Linked DNA regions of Daphnia pulex. The protein of the gene in region 2 binds, or shares a complex with, the protein of the main gene of each other region. Links are inferred from orthologs where the notes say so. Each region holds a gene or a part of one and is shown on either strand. Other genes may lie near its edges. The genes, in order: H/ACA ribonucleoprotein complex subunit 2-like protein and H/ACA ribonucleoprotein complex subunit 4-like.

Region 1 (8,699 bases), on a different chromosome or scaffold from region 2:
ATCGACCGGTCTATGTGTTATTCGGCGGTAGTATATTTCTTTTATATTCTTCCTTGTGTATTATATATATTCACATAGGACAGACAGACTCTCCAGTCCAGCCAGGGCAGCCAAACGCGGACAATGTTAAAGGCTTGGTGGCTGGAACCCAGTCAAGTTTTATCGATCAGCAGCTTTTCCACGGGAGGAGGAGGAAACACACAACATAGAGAGAGAGAGAGAGAGAAGAAAAAGTACCTATATGTGTAAGAACAAGAAGCGAATTCAAAGCTGAAAACAGTATACACACACGCTCAGCACATCGCTCGTCTGTGTAGAAAATACATTCATTTCCAAAGGCTTCTTCTTCCGTGTAATATAGGACTCTGTAAACCAGACATTATAAAGGCTGCCCTATGCTGCTGTGTTCTTCTACCACCCGGTAGAATATTTGAAAATTATGCAGCCAGACGTTCTGTGTGTATACAACCGGTCGTTAATCAAAGGAAAATTATTCACAGATTTGAATAAATTGTATACCTTTCGAGCAAGGAGGAGGTGGTGGGAGTGGCCGCAATGGTATATAATCCAATTGTTGCAAACTGAAAGAGGCGCAGCCGCTAGAAAAAAAAATTTATATTTCCAACTTGACATCGGGGAAAAAAGCAATTTGACCTTTTTAACGAAGCGCATCCGCAGGATTTATTTTTATTTTTTTGCATTTATCGACCGACCTGTTGACTGGAAGGGGATGGATACAAGAAAAAACATCCAGCGATGGAAGGAGGGAATATAAGCGTGTATGTGTAGTTTGTTTCTCCGTTCAAAATGAATCAAGTCGTATATGAACCCATTTTCTTCTTGTTTATTGCGATCCCTTTAGTGCCGTCAAGTTATTCCAGCAGCAGCGCCCGATCGATTTTTTCTTCTACCCACCCGGATTCTATGACTATAGTGGTGTGTGTGGCGGGTAATCAAATATTTGTTGGAGATTCCCTTGATGTTGTTCGCTTGTCGCTTTGCACTTTGTTTTGTGATGCCCAGCAGCTCGCACCTCCGACGGAAAGAGATGGGAGGCCATAAACGAGTGAAAAAACGTAACAAAAATAATAACGTCAGCCGCCGCCGCCATTGTTAACAGTTAAATTTGGGGCTCATTTCTTCGGCGAATGCAGTTTAAATCTTTTCTGATGCCCTGAAATAATCCGGACGGCAAACGTGAATAACAGTTCAAATGAGTTTTTAATGGACTTGACATCAACTGATTTGCATATTTTGAATACTCGTGGAAATAATAAGCTTAATATACACGGCGCCGAGCGGCGCATCAGCGACGGACGAAAATAAGGGCGAAAATTTCATGCCCCAAATACGATTTTGTTTTGTTTTTGTATTCAAACGTCCCTGATTACCAATTTTCTTTTCTTTTTCCAGGCGCGTGAGCTCCGTCCTAACGTTTCATATCTCTCGCCAATGCCACGAAATTGGAAGTTACAGTCTAATTGAGTAAACATGACCAAGAAACTTTCATTTGGTATTTTTTTCTTCTGGAAAAAGAGAAAGTTGGACACATAATTTTCTTATAGGCAAATGTGGGTTTTACTAGAAATTCATCAAGGCCTACCGACACCGATCTGTTTTTCATTTTTCTTCTTCCCAAATTTGTGTGTTCCCAAAAAGTGTCGTTCACTTAACAAAAGAAAAGAAGAAATTATTAAGTCATTTACCTCAAAACTTTCTAAGCTGCCAACCAGAGAGCGGGTCCATTTTCTTCTGCCCAGCCACCACCTCATCACGACAATAAATAAATTTGATAAGTTCAAAACTTCCGTTCGAAATGAAGGTACTGGAAAAAAAAAAAATTTTAAACCAGGACAATCAAATTCCAACTCAAACCAACACCACGTGTCGGCAAGTGTGTATTTCACGGAGGTAAATCTTTCGACAAAACTCGTGTTCCACAAACTCAAAACGACAGAATGACAAAAAAAAAGTATGAACAATGTTCAGTGAAGAAGATTTTGTTTGTTTGTTTTTCTTGAAAGGAATAGTTAAAAAATACGCAAGTGTTGATGCAGCAAAAGAAAACTATGGATGGAGAATTGAAACACGAGCGTCCCCCCATTAATTTTTCATTTTTGTTTTATCGAAGTGACTTGTTTCAGATTCTAGGTAGGAAAACCCAGACGTCACTCGACGAGGAACGATGAAAGACGATCCCCGCTTGTGTTTGTGTGTGAATAAACCAGCAAACATAAATTCATTTCATATAAAGTTCTTGAAATTGCGGTAGTCAATTCATATTTCCCTACCGAGAAAAAAAAATTTCAAAAAAAATATGACAATCGCATAATTTCACCTAAGATTTCCCCTCCAGTCCAATGTAAAAATAGAAAAGAAAAAAAATAGAAGAGGAATTGATGCACTCTTGATGATTTCTTCCACATTTTTTCCCGCTCCGATTGAACAGGAAAAACAAGTTCGTTGCAGCGTTCAAGTTGGAAAGAAAAAAGTAACAGCTGAACGCAATCGACGGGTGTCATATGCAGGGAAAAAAACTTTATTTTATCCGTTGGATGCGTGATAAATGGTCCGAAACCGTTGATGATAATCCTAGAGGGTGTCTTAATAATCGTCCAAATCGTAGACTTGATCGTCCAGAGGGCCGTCGCCTTGTAAACTTTGCATATCCACCTTGTAGCGTAAAATGCCTGTTTCATTCAAAGAAAAGAATATTAATAAACAGGATCATGTAAAGGGTAGTGCAATTCAAAAGTCTGACCTCCAATGCCACCAAACCCTCTGACGAACTGGGAGCCTTCTTGGGATTTATCGGTGATGATTTCAAGCGTCGCACCAAACGATTTATAATTGTTTGCCAGCCACTCCAGTAGCGGCTGACTTTCTATCAATTCCATTTCGGTACCGCTCTAATGATAATAAAATTCCATGTTAAGACATTTTCTAAAATAATTATAAATAACAAATAGTTAATTACATCCTTGTCCGTGAAATGCGTGTTGTCTTTTTGCTGTTCGGGCGTTAAGTGCAGAACTTTGGTCGCTTCCGTACCGGGAATCTTGAGCATGTAGCGCATAATGTCCAAATTCTCCCAACAAATGAGAATTTCAACAGCGCCAAGTTCCAGTGCTTTCAGCGTATCGTCGACACCAAAGCAGTACTTGCCCGTATCCTGGCTGATTTCATCAAAGTATCGACCTACGTGAGAAGAAACATAACACCACCGTTAGGTTAACACATAAAAGGTAATTTAATCCAAAAAAACAACTAACCAATCAGCTTCTTTTCCTGGATAAACTTCACATTGGCAAGACTCTCTGCTGCAAGCTCGATTGCCTGGTTGAAGCCGTTTTCACCACCGTAAGAGATGTCGACCATCTTGATAATTTTGACTTGCAATCTCTATCAAAAGAAAGAAACCAGTTACAACTAGCGGGAATGAGAAAGGTAATACCAATCATGGAACTGAAATACGAGATTCTAGTCAGAGACCAAAGTCCAGATGATTTCGGTTTGTGAAATGTAATAACTGCTTGCTTACCGGATCGAACATATCCGATTGAGAGAGCTCCGTCTTGAAGTCAGCACTTCCTGCTAAGATGAGGCCTGCAGCCGTCACCTTATCGTTGGATATGAACATTTGAGTGGCTACCTCGGCCACTTTACGGACGTAATTGTGTCGCTTTTCCATACGTAAACGGGCGAAACGCAAGGCAGACTGACCACCACGTCCTACATAAACAGCGTCACATGAAATTATAGAATTCACAAAATAGCACCAATAATTAGAAATGATGCTTACCGTGCTTTTTGGGTAATTCGACAGTAAATTTATGTAAAACTTCTCTCGTGTTTCCTTGGAGTGTTCCAAACAACGCCCCGTTACCATCCATAATAATGAAACCAAATTTGTTATCGTCAGCTAACAATGCTGTCAAGGCTTCTGTATGGAACTGAATTCACTCATGATTTATCTTTGAAAACCTTAAAAATAACAAAAAAAAACCATACCTTGTTGTCACACAAATACAGTGATGTATTGATGGGCTTGAAAGGCTCAAAATCAATGTTCACTTTCTTCTCTTTACCCTCTTCTGTGACAATTGTTCCACAATATATGACCAAACCATTAGGGGGTACTGGCAAATCAAAGAAAATTATTAAGGTTAATCAAGAAACAAGCATAAATAACAACACATACCTTTGGCATACAGTTTTAATCTCTGTTGGACAGATGTGATGGCACCCAGGACAGAGAGCCTGTTTACTCGAGATTTAATATTGGAGGCAGTACCGAATTCATCAGCCAACATTTTGCTGATCCGAGCAATCTGATCTTTAGGAGGGATGATGAGCGAAATCATGCTTGTACCATTTCTAAAGAAGAAAGTGTTTCATTAAACTTTATTCACTTGTTGAGCAGTTGTTAAGCAACAGCTTGACATGCCCTGTCAATTACTGCCATAATTCTGAGACATGTTATCTCATGAGGCAAATTACCCTCTTGCAAGTTCCAAGCTTTTGATGAGTTTTTTGATCTTCCAGATCTCAACATTCCTATCTGCAGAGTTCTCCTCCATGACACTGGTTTAGGGGCTATAGGAAAGCAGCAAATAGATGAAACCTGAGTAAACCAATTACAGTTTAAATGAAAAGGTATAGTTTGTTAAAGTGGTCTTTATAGACGGTCGGCATGACAGAAAAATAGGAATTTGTCTATGACAGACGTGGTCACATCGAAAAACATGGCGACGACAGCTTTCTCTCAATATGAAATTCTTCATTTGCTCTTAAACAAGAAAGACAAATAGATAATTACCTCACTATAAAAAACAAGTGGGAATCTTTGTCGTGGACGAAAAAAAGGGTTTATAAAAATTACACGAGTTGCTCACGTAAAACACTTTCTCAGAACACCGCTTCACACCAGCACATGGGTCGTGGATTCCGTGATTTCGATATCGAAATAATTACAAGTAGGCTACGAAATCGATTTGATATTGGTCCACCAATTTGTCAAAATTTACCCAATTTTAAGTTTCCTATAAATTATTTGTCAATAAGAAACTATGAAAAGTATTATTATCGGCAGCATTTTTTAGTTTTTTATTATAAATGTCAAGGTTTCAGTTTACAAGTTGATGCTACGAGCTATTGGCAACGTCTAAATCCAGACGACGCGAAAGTCAAGAGCTAGGCAAAAAAATCGACGAGCTTGAAAACCACACGTGCTCATACTACCGTAGCTACTGCATTTAAGTTAACAGTTTAAATTTAAAACAAAAAGAAAAATGGCCAAGAAATCAAAGCAGGTTATCAAGGAAGAAGAAACCGATGCCATGGAAACATCACAGGTCGAGGGAAAATCAGACAAGAGTAGCTATGATGAGTTGATGAATCATGTCAGCATCATTGCTAAACCAATGGCTAGCAGGAAGCTCACTAAACGGATCTATAAACTTCTTAAGAAAGGTTAGTTAATTTTTTGGTTATATTTTCATTCAGTAAGTTCAAATATGTTTCTTGCTTCTAGCTGCCCCACACAAGGGATATGTGAGAAACGGCCTCAAGGATGTACAGAGAAGAATTCGACTAGGTGAAAAAGGGTAAATACAAAAAACAAAATCTTGTGATATTCTTAATGTGTTAACAAATTATTTTTCTTTTTTCAGGTTGGTCATTTTTGCTGGTGATGTTACTCCTGTAGATATTATGTGCCACATGCCTGCAGTGTGTGAAGAAAAGAATATTCCTTACATCTACACTCCATCAAGACTTGAACTTGGTCATTCTCTGGGACTGAAGCGAACATCTTTGATGGTGCTTATCAAAGAACATCCTGACTATCAAACTTCTTTTGATGAACTTGCTGCTGAACTTAAAACCATCCCTCCTCAATGTTAATGAATTCCTCTTTCATCCAAGCTCCTTCATCAGTCATACTAATTTGACATTGAAAATGATTACACTTTTTCAGAATTTGGATGCTTTTTTTTCAGAATTCACATTTTTACTCCATACATCACTGTCGACTCATTTCCTCATCTTGGTTACACAGAAAGTAAAGCAAAAAAAAAGTGACTTGGGTGGATGTGATACAAAATTAGCCTTGTTGCAAGCAAAAAACAACAAAAAGGTGGAGCATACGAAAGTGGGTTCAATACTTTCATGCAACACTGATACGCCTGTGAAACATTCCATGATGATAACTTGGTGTGGACTCTTCACTAATTGATGAAAAAGATAATAAACGAACGTCATCCGCGAAGGAACAAGAAGTTCGATTGAATGAGGTTTGCTAAGTCATCATGTCGTTGTTGGATATCAATGGGTTATTCACTGGTCCTTTCAACGATTCGTTAACATCTCGCCGGAAGAGTGATAGGTTTTGCGTAAATCTGAAATTTGTTGAATGAAGAAATATAGAATAATAACTTTTAAAAGGAAACAAAATTTACAAGTTTACCTGTCTCGGTTTTTGGCGGTGACATTCCTCTCGATTCCGTCCATCAAGTTGTCGAACCACTGAGCCATAAGGCTCTGCTTGTCGACTGGCTGACTGCGAATGATGGATTGACGCAATTGGCCAAAATAGTCTTCGTTCAACAAAATGAGGCCAAGCAAAGGACGGGACATGGAATACTGATTTCGGCATTCTTCAAACATAACGATGTTCAAGATACAACTCAGCATCTGTTGCAGTAGTTCTGGTCGGATTTCCATCAAACGAATGAGTTGCGCACCCTGCTGCTGTTCTACAACCTTTCGAGCCTTTTTGCCTTTAGCCGTCAACTGGCGAAAGACGTAGGTTACGATATGATCTAGCGTATTGCAGCAGCCCGTGCAGATCATGGTATCTATTGGTGGAATTTTCTCGTTACATTGAGTTCGATTACCATTCATTAAAATATTTACTGTTCAAATATACCTAGTGCAGTGAGGCCTTCTTGGACAGTCGAGAGAATGTATAGGAAAACATGCGGCTCTAACGAGCTGAGAAACACCATGTGATCTTGAGCAAGACACTCCAACAACACATAGTAGGTCTGACTCAACTTTGGATAAGCCTATTTACAGAAGTAATATTTAGATACTGTAATGTTAAACCAATAGGGACTTTACTTACTAAGAGATCACTTTGTGGTATAGACATGAGCATTTTGACGAAAGTGCCAAGAGCGTCGTCTAGGGCAGTATCGCCATAGAGACGGAAGACTCCGAAGTTAACATATCCGCCACACAAAGCTGCCTGTAATGCAGGTTTACATACGTTAGAAAAAAAAAGTTTCTTTTGAGAGACAGAATAAATTATTGTTCACCTTAAGCAGAGAAAAACACACTGAGATGCCTTTAAATTTTGCAGCGTAAATTTGTTCTTTGGGCACTTCAACACTCAAAATTCGACCACCTAAATGAAGGAATGAAACCGCAATTAATTTAGCTCGATCATAATCCCCCCCCCCCAAAAAAAAAAAAAATGTTATACCGTATGAGCAGAGAACTTTTGAGGCCTCACGGAATAGTAGGACACCGTTCGGGGAAGTGGAATCAAATTGCAACCGTTGACTCCGATTTTGCACCAACTCGGCAAAAAGCTTCAGCAATGGACTTGTCACCTGTTCGGATTTGCAAAATTTACAGAATTAGATAATGAATCAAAAAGCAACTTTGCAATTTTCTACCTGTGGCTGATGGTACCACAGCTGCAATGCTCTGAGATACACAGCCGCATAATCAGGATATAACCAATCAAAGAGCATCATGTAAGATTGCTTGGTATTAAAGGCGAATGCCAGGCCTCGCAGATCTCTAGCCAATCCAATAACACATTTTTGCGCCTCCTCGACTTGACTAAACATGGGGGAGTCCGCCTGTGTCAATAGAGCTCCTAGGGAATCAAATGCACCTATAGGAAAACGAGTTAAATTTAAAGAAAATGCACAGATTGTATATTAATGAATAAATATTACTGGCTAACGGTAACATGAACTGCTCAAAACGATCTTCGTCTTCACCCAAATCCACCAATAATAAGCGGCCCATCGATGTATAAAATGTTGTTCGACACTTCATTTCGCTAACGTCAACGTTTGGACCCAGGAATGGAAAATGTTCACTCTGCAAAAAGAAGAGCAATAGTAAGCGAAAGAAGTTAACCGGAAAGGATAACTTGTACTACCGTGTGGTTTTGTAAAATGAACTGGATCTCTTCAAGTTTAACCAGCTTACGTACACTGCTGTAACCAACGCATAGTTCATTAAGAAGCAAGAGAGTTTTGGCTACTATAGGTTCCCGATGACTCCAATATTTCAAATTCGTAATAATCTTTCGCACAAACACACTCAAGACCATAGACTCGTCGCGAAGACCTAATACATCGGAAAGCCCTCTATAGACTTTTGACGTCATCTGTACCTAGGACAAAGTAATTAAAAATAAAATTTTATGCTCATTATTTTTTGTTTTTCTTCCGACAGCAGGATTACTTGATCGCCAACGTAAATCTTGCGGAACTGTTCAAAGAAGGAAAGCATAGCTAATTCCAATTTTTCACATCCACCAGTAACTTGCAATCGACTATCGGTCAAGTTCATCAACTGTAAAACGCTGCAATACAAAATTTGATGTAAATCAAGACAAAAGTCTTAAGTCTGAAAACAAAATCAACAAACCGGCAAACTAATTCTCCATCCATCGA
Region 2 (10,097 bases):
TTGATTCTTCATTTTGTCTCAACCCAGACAGCGGCGAGGAGTGTCGGACCAGTTTTTGCGAGATGCAAGCGTGCCAACCGCCGGAGATGCATGTGGGCTTATCTGGTTGGACTTAGTGTTCTTGCGCTGATCCTGGTGACATCACATCTACCTCGTTCTGGCTTCAATCCCACGACTTTTGTCGATAATGATGACCCAATCGAAAGCGGTGAGTAGCTTTACTTTACTTCCAATAGTTTCTCTTTAATTCTGTTTGGATTATTTCAAAATTACATTACTCTACTTAAATGTTTGATTAATTGAATTTAGTTGGGCTTTGGAGACGCCATTTGTTGGCAAACGAAGAAAAACGAACGTCGACTGCAACGCCAATTTTAGATCCGTTCGCCGGAATCAACTGCACTCCTCCGGCTATTGAAGAATTTCCACGGCCAGGCATCCCGCAATATGTCCGAGCCAAGGGTGGTCTCGTGGTCCACTTGCTCGTTTCCGCTTACATGTTCCTGGGTCTATCCATCGTCTGCGATGACTACTTCGTTCCTGCACTCGAAAGGATGGTGGAATGTATGTTGTAAATTTGTTTTTCTTATTTCCGACAATAATCAGCTAATGAAACCGATTTCCGGCAGCCCTGCACATGTCTCAAGATGTGGCGGGAGCTACTTTTATGGCAGCTGGTTCATCCGCTCCAGAACTTGCAACTGCAGTGATTGGTGTATTCATAGCCAAGGTAATGTCGAATGAATTTCTCGGGTTCTTTCATCAGAGTCAAATAAATGTAACTGATATATGTATTTTGTTACAGGATGACATAGGTATCAGTGGCGTGATTGGCTCTGCCGTCTTCAATATCATGTTTGTTATCAGCGTGTGCGCCCTCTTTTCCGGAGGTGTCATCTATCTGAATTGGTGGCCGCTTGTTCGTGACTGCATCGCTTATTTCGTGGCCATATTTGCTCTTCTCTTCACCATCTACAATGAAGTTGTCACATGGTAATGGAAATATTCGACATTCCAAATATCGATTTTGGAGCTTTATTGTCTTATCAAGAATGTTTTGTTACCATTTACCATTAACGTGCGCCATTAAACCTTGGCAGTCAAAAAATCTATTCGATTTTGTTTTAATGGTAACGTAATCGTTTTGGACTATCCAAAGGTACGAGTCGACCATTTTCCTGATGCTCTACGTGGCCTATTGTGTAATGATGGTCTACAACTCTCAACTGGAGCGATGGGCAAACACTTTGCCTATTCCTATTCCCGACTACGCCCGTAGACTTCCCGGTGGGGAAAACGCGTCGCTGATGCCCTACAAGAATCTTGACTCGGAGGCAGGTGGCATTAGTGGCCCCGCTGGGAAACTCTACACCGACGAAAGATCCCCTGGTAATGCCTCACACATCCAGGAAACTTTGTTCCGATTTTAACATTTTTCTTTGGAAATACTTCAATAGATTCTGTGAAATCTTCGATTGACGGAAATGTTGGTCCCTGTGACGCTGGAGGCACTTCCGGCCCTTCGATCAGCAAGATTAAAGAGGAGGAGGCAGAGCGATTTTCGCCGTGGGTACCACCAGTAGAATTTCTAGACCGGATCACGTGGGCCATCTGCCTGCCGTTGCGTGCTGCTGCTTACTACACGATGCCCAACTGCCGTTTAGAGAAATGGGGCAGTTGGTTCCTTGTTTCTTTTTTCATCAGCATGCTCTGGATTTCCATCTTTTCCTACGTCATGGTCTGGATGATCACTATTATTGGTTAGTAATATTTACTCATTCGAATATGTTTGTATTTATTAGACGGTACATTATTTTACTAAATTTGTGATCAGGTTTCACTATGGGAATTCCGGATACTGTGATGGGATTGACGTTTGTGGCTGCTGGTGTCAGTATTCCCGACATTCTAACCAGTTTGGCTGTTGCCAGAGAAGGTGAAAATGACTGAATAAAAGGAAAATTTGATACAAATAGTAATCATTCGTTCTCTTTAGGTTACGGTGACATGGCTACATCCAACGCCATCGGCAGCAATGTATTCGATATTCTCATTTGTCTGGGGCTACCTTGGTTTCTTCAAACGGCCGTCGTTGATCCGGGAAGTGTAGTTCGAGTCATCAGCAAAGGTACTGTACCACCGACACTTTCACCATTGCTCACGTTTACGGAACCATGAAGTATTATTCTGTTAAAAATGCAGGATTAACATATTCAACCCTATCATTGCTGTCAACCATTGTTTTCTTGTTGGGCGCCACTCATCTGAATGGCTGGAAGCTGGATCGCAAATACGGAGTTGCTCTTCTGGGGTGGTATTTGTTCTTCATGATCATCGCTTCTAGTACGTTTAAATTAGGTTTTATTCTAACTAACGCTGAATTTTGTATTAACCTATTCATAAATTTTACTCTAGTGTACGAGATGAACATCTTTGGCTACTTTAACCCGCCGGAATGTGACAGCGAATTTTGAGAAATGAAGCGCATCTATTCTAGGTGACCATCTTACACCAACAAATATCATCTTCTTGGCAACTCCAGTCATGCAGTATTTATAGGGAATCAATTCATGGTAACCTGGATTCAACAGGGAATGAAGCTGATATACAATCCGCACTATCTAGCTTACAAGCTGTTTCCCGGAGCTTGAACGGGCTCCGCAGCTCTCGGCCGCACATATATGGTCCTTGGTAGAGCTCAAAATTTTTATTCTACTAATCTATACAGATACAACTGCAACGATGTTTACATTCACAATAATATAAAATTATAGTTCATTTATTGTGTGGTTTAAAATTTTGTTTATTATTTTGCGATGGTCCGCCATCGTCCTTTTGTTTGTTTACATTTGATTCGTATTTCGGTGTCTCGACGTGTGCCAATTTGTTGATGTTAAATAAGTAAGGTTGCTTTCCATTTTCCTCTTTTGTTAATTTCAGTATTATATTTCGCAATCTATTTCACCGTGAAACCTTGTTTATCGTAAATCACTACTTACAATTCCGAATCGAAGTATCACCAGCAAAATTTTGACGTTCGTCGAGCGGTGAGCTACAATGGATGTTGATTTTTGATTTCCACTTTTCTCATTTAATATAACCGTTCATCACCCTATTCCACATACATTACGCATGTTTCTCACCTGAAAAATCTAGCGCATTTCTTAATTCTAGGCTGAATGTACTACTCCGTGTTAGTAGCATCTCAAGCTAATAAATCAACCGTCTGTCAAATGTGTGGTTTTGAGGAAAAATCAATTAACAACAAATAGTTTCACCACAAGCTCCCATGCTTTACAGTGTAAAGCTAATAAGTAATCATTACAACATTTGACGCTTAAGTTGGTTCTTCCATAAAAGTATTGAATAAACTCGTATTTAGAGATTATTCAACGAAGAATGTTAGACACATTTGAATCAAACTTTTATAAAGCTAGAAATAACAGTATCGGTAATGAACACCGTGACCAGGTCAACTTTCAACTTATTTATATTCCGCTTGAGATGTAAAATATTGTGTCTTTATCGGACAAAGACATCGGTATTCCGAAAACTGGAATTGTCCCTGGAGATTTGAAGGGAGAAGAGGTAGAGGAAAGAAAGAGAAAAAGATTATGAATTCTCATTTGAATGGCGAGACCACCATTCCGTACTTTAGAGAATCCGTGTGGTTTTTGTATTCAAGTATTGTGTTCGGTGGAAGGTTTAAGACTCGACGAAGTGTATCTCGAATTCGGTTGGTAGTAGCCTGATCACTTGCAATTCGATTCCATACCGAAATAATATCCTCCTAAAATATATATATTTATATAAATTATATGATTTTTAACACAAAAAACATTTTTCTTACAGCAAATCGAATTGAGACGACAGCTCCACATATTTCGTCGCCTACCATAAATTGTTCGCCTAACATAGCTAATATTAAGTTCTCCCAACAACGTGAGGCTAAACCTTTTCGAAGACGCACAATCCATTTACCACCACAACGATTGGCATCATCCTGTTGGGAAAAAAAAGTAGGTTAATAAACACTTCACCACCCTTATTATTATTTAATAATACAACCTCCCACATTGGTTTGATTCCATCTTTAAATAAATGAAAGTCACTGTGACCAGAGAGTTCACAAGGCCTGACCAGATGGCAATAGTATGACCAAAACTGTTCTACAGAAGCAAAACGTCCAACCATTCTTAGATTCTGATCAAAGCTTTGGGGTGCTGCATGTTTTCCAGGAGCTCTCCGACTAAACCACAAACAGTATGTGTATCTAAAAACAAATGGTATTTCTATAATTAACATGTACTAATAAAAGTAATATCATTTTCATGTGTACTGGAGTGGATGTTCTTCTCGAGGAACTTGAATGGGTTGCTGAAAAAAATTAACCTTTAAATTAGTAGGAAAAAATGGGTAAGTGAGCACATAAATTCGTCTATCGCAATTATCACATCATTAACATAGAGTTAATAGATATTACAATAATTTTTTGTGTATTATGCAGTTAATATCTCACCAAAATTAAATCCTTTTTCTTTCTTTCTTCACTGAATGAAGTTTCGTCGTCATCACTGTCTTCGCTGTTGTTCAACCTGTCGAAAAGCAACAAAGTAAACGCAAATTCTATTAAAACATGTATAAAATTTGAAAACTTACGCATCAAATTTATTGTTATTAAGGGCCATTTGTAAATAGTTTACGAAATCGGAGTGTTACAGTCAAATTGTTCACTTAATTTATACACCAATTTGCAGCATGTAGTAGAAAGACTAAAGAAAGAAACAAGCAGTATGTCCAGAAATGTTGTACAAATTTTAGATGGTGAAAACACTAAACAGTACCCACACTATAGAGTAGCGAAAAATTGCCACCAGTTGCCACCAGGTGACCTTCAAGAGGTTTTGGCGCCACACACTAGAGTACCCTTCCCAAAGCCAAAGCGCCACGGCCCACGGGAGAAAGATGTTATAGTTATTGTAACTTCTAATGTAATGGTAATAAAGAGATAATTTGAACCATTGAATTTTAAAATCAAGTAAAATATTGGAAATACATGTCATAGCAGAAAAAGTGACTTCGTGATTAATTTTTTTCCAAAAATAAGAATCAAAAATCAAATGGCAACGCTCAACACTTCCGCTCATTGGTTTCTTTTTTTGTAGCAGAGGTTTTTCAACACATTAGATCAAAGACAGGACTTCGAACCACGTGTGAAGCACGATGCATTCATCTGGTAAGCGCCATCACATAATATAAATTTTACAAGCTAGTTATAGGGATCGATTATGTGTTTTCACATGGAAAAGATGCATTGTAGTTTGCTGCACAAATAGTATGATTCGAAATTTACATTAATTTGGTTAATTCTGTGATCTACGGATTAATGTTGGTAACACGTGTCGGTTAATGTTAGCATTCCTGTGTTTCAGAAGTCCTAGGAGAGAAACAAAGTGGAAAGAAGTCAAGAAAGTCCTTGGGAGATATTCAAGGAGATTCAGACTTTGTGTTGGAGCCATCAGAAAAACCAGTAGCAAAATTGGACTGTTCACAATGGCCGCTGTTACTAAAGGTATGTTGTTAAATATTAAATTAAATGTAGATGTTCTCAAAATAATTTATTTTAGTATCTATCTATACAAGCATTATGCTAAGAATGCTAATGATTAATTTATCGAAAGTAGTGGACTGAAAAGACTGAAGACACTCAAAGATAATGAAGCATTTAAAACTAAATTCTTAAAATTTTTCTAGTTTGAAACTTGATCTTTATAGATATTAATTTTTCCCTTGTTATTTATTAAGAAATGTGAACATTTTCTAAATCATCTTTTTTTTTCAGAATTTTGACAAGTTAAACACAAGGACAAATCATTATACACCTCTTCCAAGTGGTTGTTCACCATTGAAGAGGCCAATTAAAGATTATATTCATGGCGGTTTTATTAATCTTGACAAGCCATCTAACCCAAGCTCTCACGAAGTAGTTGCCTGGATTAAGAGGATTCTAAGATGTGAAAAGACGGGTCATTCAGGAACATTGGACCCTAAAGTTACAGGTATGTTGATAGCACTCAGAAAATCCCATGGACTTTACTAATTGAATATTATACAGGGTGTTTGATTGTTTGCATTGATCGTGCTACAAGGCTGGTCAAATCTCAGCAGGGAGCTGGCAAAGAGTATGTTGCCATATTTAAGCTTCATTCTGCAGTTGAAGATAACAATCAGGTAGTTTCTTGACCCTTCTAGTTGAAAGCCTTATGCTAAAGATGCTAATGATTAATTTATCGAAAGTAGTGGACTGAAATGACTGAAGATAATTAAAGATAATGAAGCATTTAACTGAATTCTGTTAATTTTTTAAGTTAGAAACTTGATCTTTATAAATACTAATTTTGTATATATTTTTTTTATTTATTAAGATTCCTCGAGCTCTTGAGAAGTTGACTGGAGCTTTGTTTCAGCGTCCACCACTGATCTCGGCTGTTAAGCGACAACTTCGTGTGCGAACCATTTACGAGAGTAAATTTTACGAGTACGATGCCGAGAGACAAATGGGTATCTATTGGGTTAGCTGTGAAGCCGGAACTTACGTTCGTACCCACTGTGTCCATCTCGGTTTGGTGCTAGGCGTAGGAGCTCAGATGGCGGAACTCAGAAGAGTTCGTTCTGGTAAGCCAGGAAGTTTCTTTTTGTGTGTGTTCTTAAGATGAAGATTTTATTTTTTATAAGGTATCCAAAGTGAAAAAGAAGGGTTAATGACTATGCACGATGTAATCGATGCGCAGTGGTTACATGATAATCATAAGGACGAAACATATCTGCGGCGGGTTATTCGTCCATTAGAGGCATTGATGATGTCTCACAAGCGAATAATCATGAAAGACAGTGCTGTAAGTGTGTTAATATTTATCTATAATATTCTTTATAATAATGTGTTAAAAAAATATATAACAGGTTAATGCCGTTTGCTATGGAGCTAAAATCATGTTGCCTGGTGTATTGCGGTACGAAAATGGTATCGAACTAAATGAAGAGATTGTTATAGTAACAACCAAAGGAGAAGCAGTGGCTCTCGCCATTGCTTTGATGACGACAACAACCATGGCTTCATGTGACCATGGTATTGTTGCCAAAATTAAACGTGTTGTCATGGAGCGTGACACTTATCCCAGGAAATGGGGACTTGGACCTAAAGTAAAAATTGATATAGTTTACATTGGCGTTACTTGTATGTATATGTATGTATTTGTTTAATTTTAGGCTTCCGTCAAGAAGGGTATGGTGAAACAGGGACTCTTGGATAAGTTTGGCAAACCTAATGACAAGACACCTAAAGATTGGTTGACATCTTATGTAGACCTAAAGTATGTAATTCAACGCAGTATTTGTATCAAATTTTTCAATAATATTATATTTTTCTGTAGCGTTAAAAAAGAAAAGGTTGAACCAACTGAAGATGCTGAGGCACGAAAAAGAAAGTTAAGTGAAACGAGCGCCGTTGCTGATCCGTTGTCAGAATCCATGACGGAAACCAAGGAGAAGAAGAAGAAGAAAAAGGACAAAGACCGGGTAAGTGTTTATACTCTTGTGAAATAATGATGTCTTAATCATTTATGGATGATTTTCAGGAGCCGCAGGGTAATGAAAGCATTCTTGATGCCACCGTAGAATCGGTTCCTGAAACCAAAGAGAAGAAAAAGAAGAAGAAAGATAAAACAGCTGAAAATGAAGACCTTTCAATTGCAGTGGACACATCAACAATCAAGGTAAATTAAACTTGTCAATTAATTTTTTTTTTAAACAAAGGTGTCGTGATTATTTAATGAAAGTAGTGAACGGAATATTTCTGACGAAAATTACCTAAATGAAAACATACTGCAAATATTATTCGCCGAGTAATTTGGTATGCATTAGTAATGTGAACATATTTCTATTTAGGAGGAGTCTGCCAAGAAAAAAAAGAAAAAGAAAGATGTCGATCGGGAAGATGATTAATTATAATTGAAATAATTTGTAATATTATGTTTGCAAGAAAATTCGAAAATACAATTCATTTCATTTTTATGCTGTGTATTAATTTATCAGAAAGTTTCAAGATGTGACAACTTCATTTGCTCCTTCAAAATTTAACCCTTCAACATCAACTTCATTTTCAGAGGCATTTAACATGTTCAATGTCACTTCAGCTGTTGACTTGTTATTAATCATTTGGGGCTGTTGTTGAACAACTACAACTGCTTGCTGAGGACTTGAATTAATATTCTGGAGTGGACTTGGTTGAACAACTGGTTGGCTGATGACTTTGGACAAAGGAATACCTGCTGCCTCAAAAGTTTTTTTCTTCAAACTACCATGAATTTGTGTCCTAATAAATAGAAGCAAATAAAATTTGAAATTTGAACACTGACATATGATTTTTGCAATCAACTTACACTGTCTTGTCTTTAATATGTTCAGAAATCTTTTCAAGATCTTCTCCAAAGCGCTTAATGGAACTTCTCAACATTTCAATTTCATCTTCACTCCATTTTGACCTGTATAAGAAAAAATTAAAAATACAACAGTGTTACAAAAGTAAATTACTTTAAATTATTTACCCAGCATTGGCATTTTCTGAGGAATGTAGCTGCATGGTCAATTTCCCCAACGTACTGAAAGCTAAGAAAAATAATGGCTGAAATCACTCATTCAACAATTACCTACATACACCATGTGTATTTTACCTAATCCTGCAGCTCCAAATATATCGGCAACCTTATTAGCAGAGTTCATTCTTGTGCACTTTTACAAACAACTAACCCAGAAAATTCACCACAAAGTCAATTATTTGGTATAAAAAAACATAATTTCCCGTAGGGATTCTAGTCACAGTCGAAGGAGGCTCAGTTTTGACACGCCACCGCTGCAATTCAAACTGCAAAATTCAATTGCAGTAATTAGACACTTAAATTTACGTAATTGTGACAACAATCACGCAAATTTTTGTAGGCATTTGATTAAACAAAGAAATCTCTTTAAAATGGATCACATTTTACGAAGATATAATAGATTTATTTTTTAAAACAGCGATTCTAAGTCAAACGGGGCTCAGTTTCGAAACGCCACCGCTGCAATTCAAACTGCAAAATTCAAAACGCCACTAAACATTAACACAAAATTTACGTAAATGTCTTACAAATCACGAAAATTTTTGTATGAAAGAGATTAAACAAAGAAAGGTCTTCAAAATGGATCACATGAAGATATACTAATAGCTGTATTTTTTACACAGCGATTCAAAGTCGAACGGGCTCACTTTCCCGGCTTGATGTGTGTCAACCCAAAAGCTATAGTTTGCAGGCCTAACAAGAAGCGAATTTGGTGGCAATTTTTACGACTGCCCGGCGGCCTTGTATACATGTAGATCCCCACCAAACGTGAACAGAAAAGCGTCCGGTTTGTTTGTTTACGTTTTAAAGCAAAGTAAGTTTTACTACTGTACTGGTTTAGACAAACAAATTGGTTATTTACACATTTTTTGATATGCCTCAAGTCCATAGATATATGTAGAATTTCTATTTTTGAGTGTGATCTACCACAATTGACAAACATTTCTTACTGAAATATTTTCCTTTTCCTTTTTAGATGCCTGGAGAAGTTCAAATGGAAGACGAAGCTGAGACTTTCACATCCCAGGCCAAGATTGCTCAGCTTATGAGCTTGATTATCAACACCTTCTATAGTCGATCTCCAACTCCTCAAATGCCCTAGTCAAGATCCGTTATGAATCCCTGACTGACCCAAGCAAGTTGGACAGCGGTAAGGACCTTAAAATCAAGATTGTCCCCAACAAGAATGCTGACTCACTCTCATGGATACGTAAGTTGAGAAATTTAGTTCCTCCTATTTGAACACGAATTTGACTGTTCTGTTTCTCTTTAGTGGTATCGGCATGATCAAGGCTGATTTGGTTAACAACTTGGGTACTATTGCCAAGTCTGGAACTAAAGCTTTCATGGAAGCCCTCTCTGCCGGAGCTGACATCTCCATGATTGGTCAGTTTAGTGTGGGTTCCTACTCTGCTTACCTGGTTGCCGACAAGGTGACAGTTC

The links.
Region 1: H/ACA ribonucleoprotein complex subunit 4-like (region 2) and H/ACA ribonucleoprotein complex subunit 2-like protein share a complex: the UniProt entries of both Drosophila melanogaster proteins name them as parts of the box H/ACA small nucleolar ribonucleoprotein (H/ACA snoRNP) complex. The link is inferred for Daphnia pulex from reciprocal best matches to the Drosophila melanogaster genes Nop60B and NHP2.

Annotation. Positions count from the first base shown.
Region 1 is NC_060026.1:11,291,993-11,300,691, forward strand, and holds H/ACA ribonucleoprotein complex subunit 2-like protein, read left to right. Parts: upstream 1-5,158; 5' UTR 5,159-5,291; coding exon 5,292-5,472; intron 5,473-5,533; coding exon 5,534-5,606; intron 5,607-5,672; coding exon 5,673-5,904; 3' UTR 5,905-5,983; downstream 5,984-8,699. Other genes in the region: eukaryotic peptide chain release factor subunit 1, read right to left, coding at 2,605-2,690, 2,762-2,909, 2,978-3,198, 3,273-3,402, 3,542-3,732, 3,803-3,953, 4,012-4,139, 4,202-4,377 and 1 more; exportin-7-like, read right to left, coding at 6,299-6,398, 6,467-6,857, 6,929-7,067, 7,127-7,249, 7,320-7,408, 7,487-7,616, 7,683-7,906, 7,971-8,118 and 3 more. UniProt on the Drosophila melanogaster protein: Component of the box H/ACA small nucleolar ribonucleoprotein (H/ACA snoRNP) complex, which catalyzes pseudouridylation of rRNA. This involves the isomerization of uridine such that the ribose is subsequently attached to C5, instead of the normal N1.
Region 2 is NC_060025.1:6,906,740-6,916,836, reverse strand, and holds H/ACA ribonucleoprotein complex subunit 4-like, read left to right. Parts: upstream 1-5,147; 5' UTR 5,148-5,223; coding exon 5,224-5,236; intron 5,237-5,432; coding exon 5,433-5,572; intron 5,573-5,842; coding exon 5,843-6,059; intron 6,060-6,115; coding exon 6,116-6,231; intron 6,232-6,425; coding exon 6,426-6,675; intron 6,676-6,735; coding exon 6,736-6,896; intron 6,897-6,960; coding exon 6,961-7,200; intron 7,201-7,266; coding exon 7,267-7,370; intron 7,371-7,430; coding exon 7,431-7,575; intron 7,576-7,634; coding exon 7,635-7,772; intron 7,773-7,838; coding exon of another isoform or gene 7,839-7,841; exon of another isoform or gene 7,842-7,944; coding exon 7,945-8,001; 3' UTR 8,002-8,070; downstream 8,071-10,097. Other genes in the region: probable sodium/potassium/calcium exchanger CG1090, read left to right, coding at 28-208, 310-564, 630-730, 806-993, 1,160-1,389, 1,458-1,760, 1,835-1,936, 1,997-2,128 and 2 more; eukaryotic translation initiation factor 4E type 2-like, read right to left, coding at 3,523-3,565, 3,654-3,790, 3,851-4,003, 4,069-4,273, 4,340-4,392, 4,520-4,595, 4,660-4,688; chromatin complexes subunit BAP18-like, read right to left, coding at 8,098-8,371, 8,439-8,540, 8,604-8,664, 8,730-8,778; heat shock protein 83-like, read left to right, coding at 9,857-9,864, 9,928-10,097. UniProt on the Drosophila melanogaster protein: Catalytic subunit of the box H/ACA small nucleolar ribonucleoprotein (H/ACA snoRNP) complex, which catalyzes pseudouridylation of rRNA. This involves the isomerization of uridine such that the ribose is subsequently attached to C5, instead of the normal N1.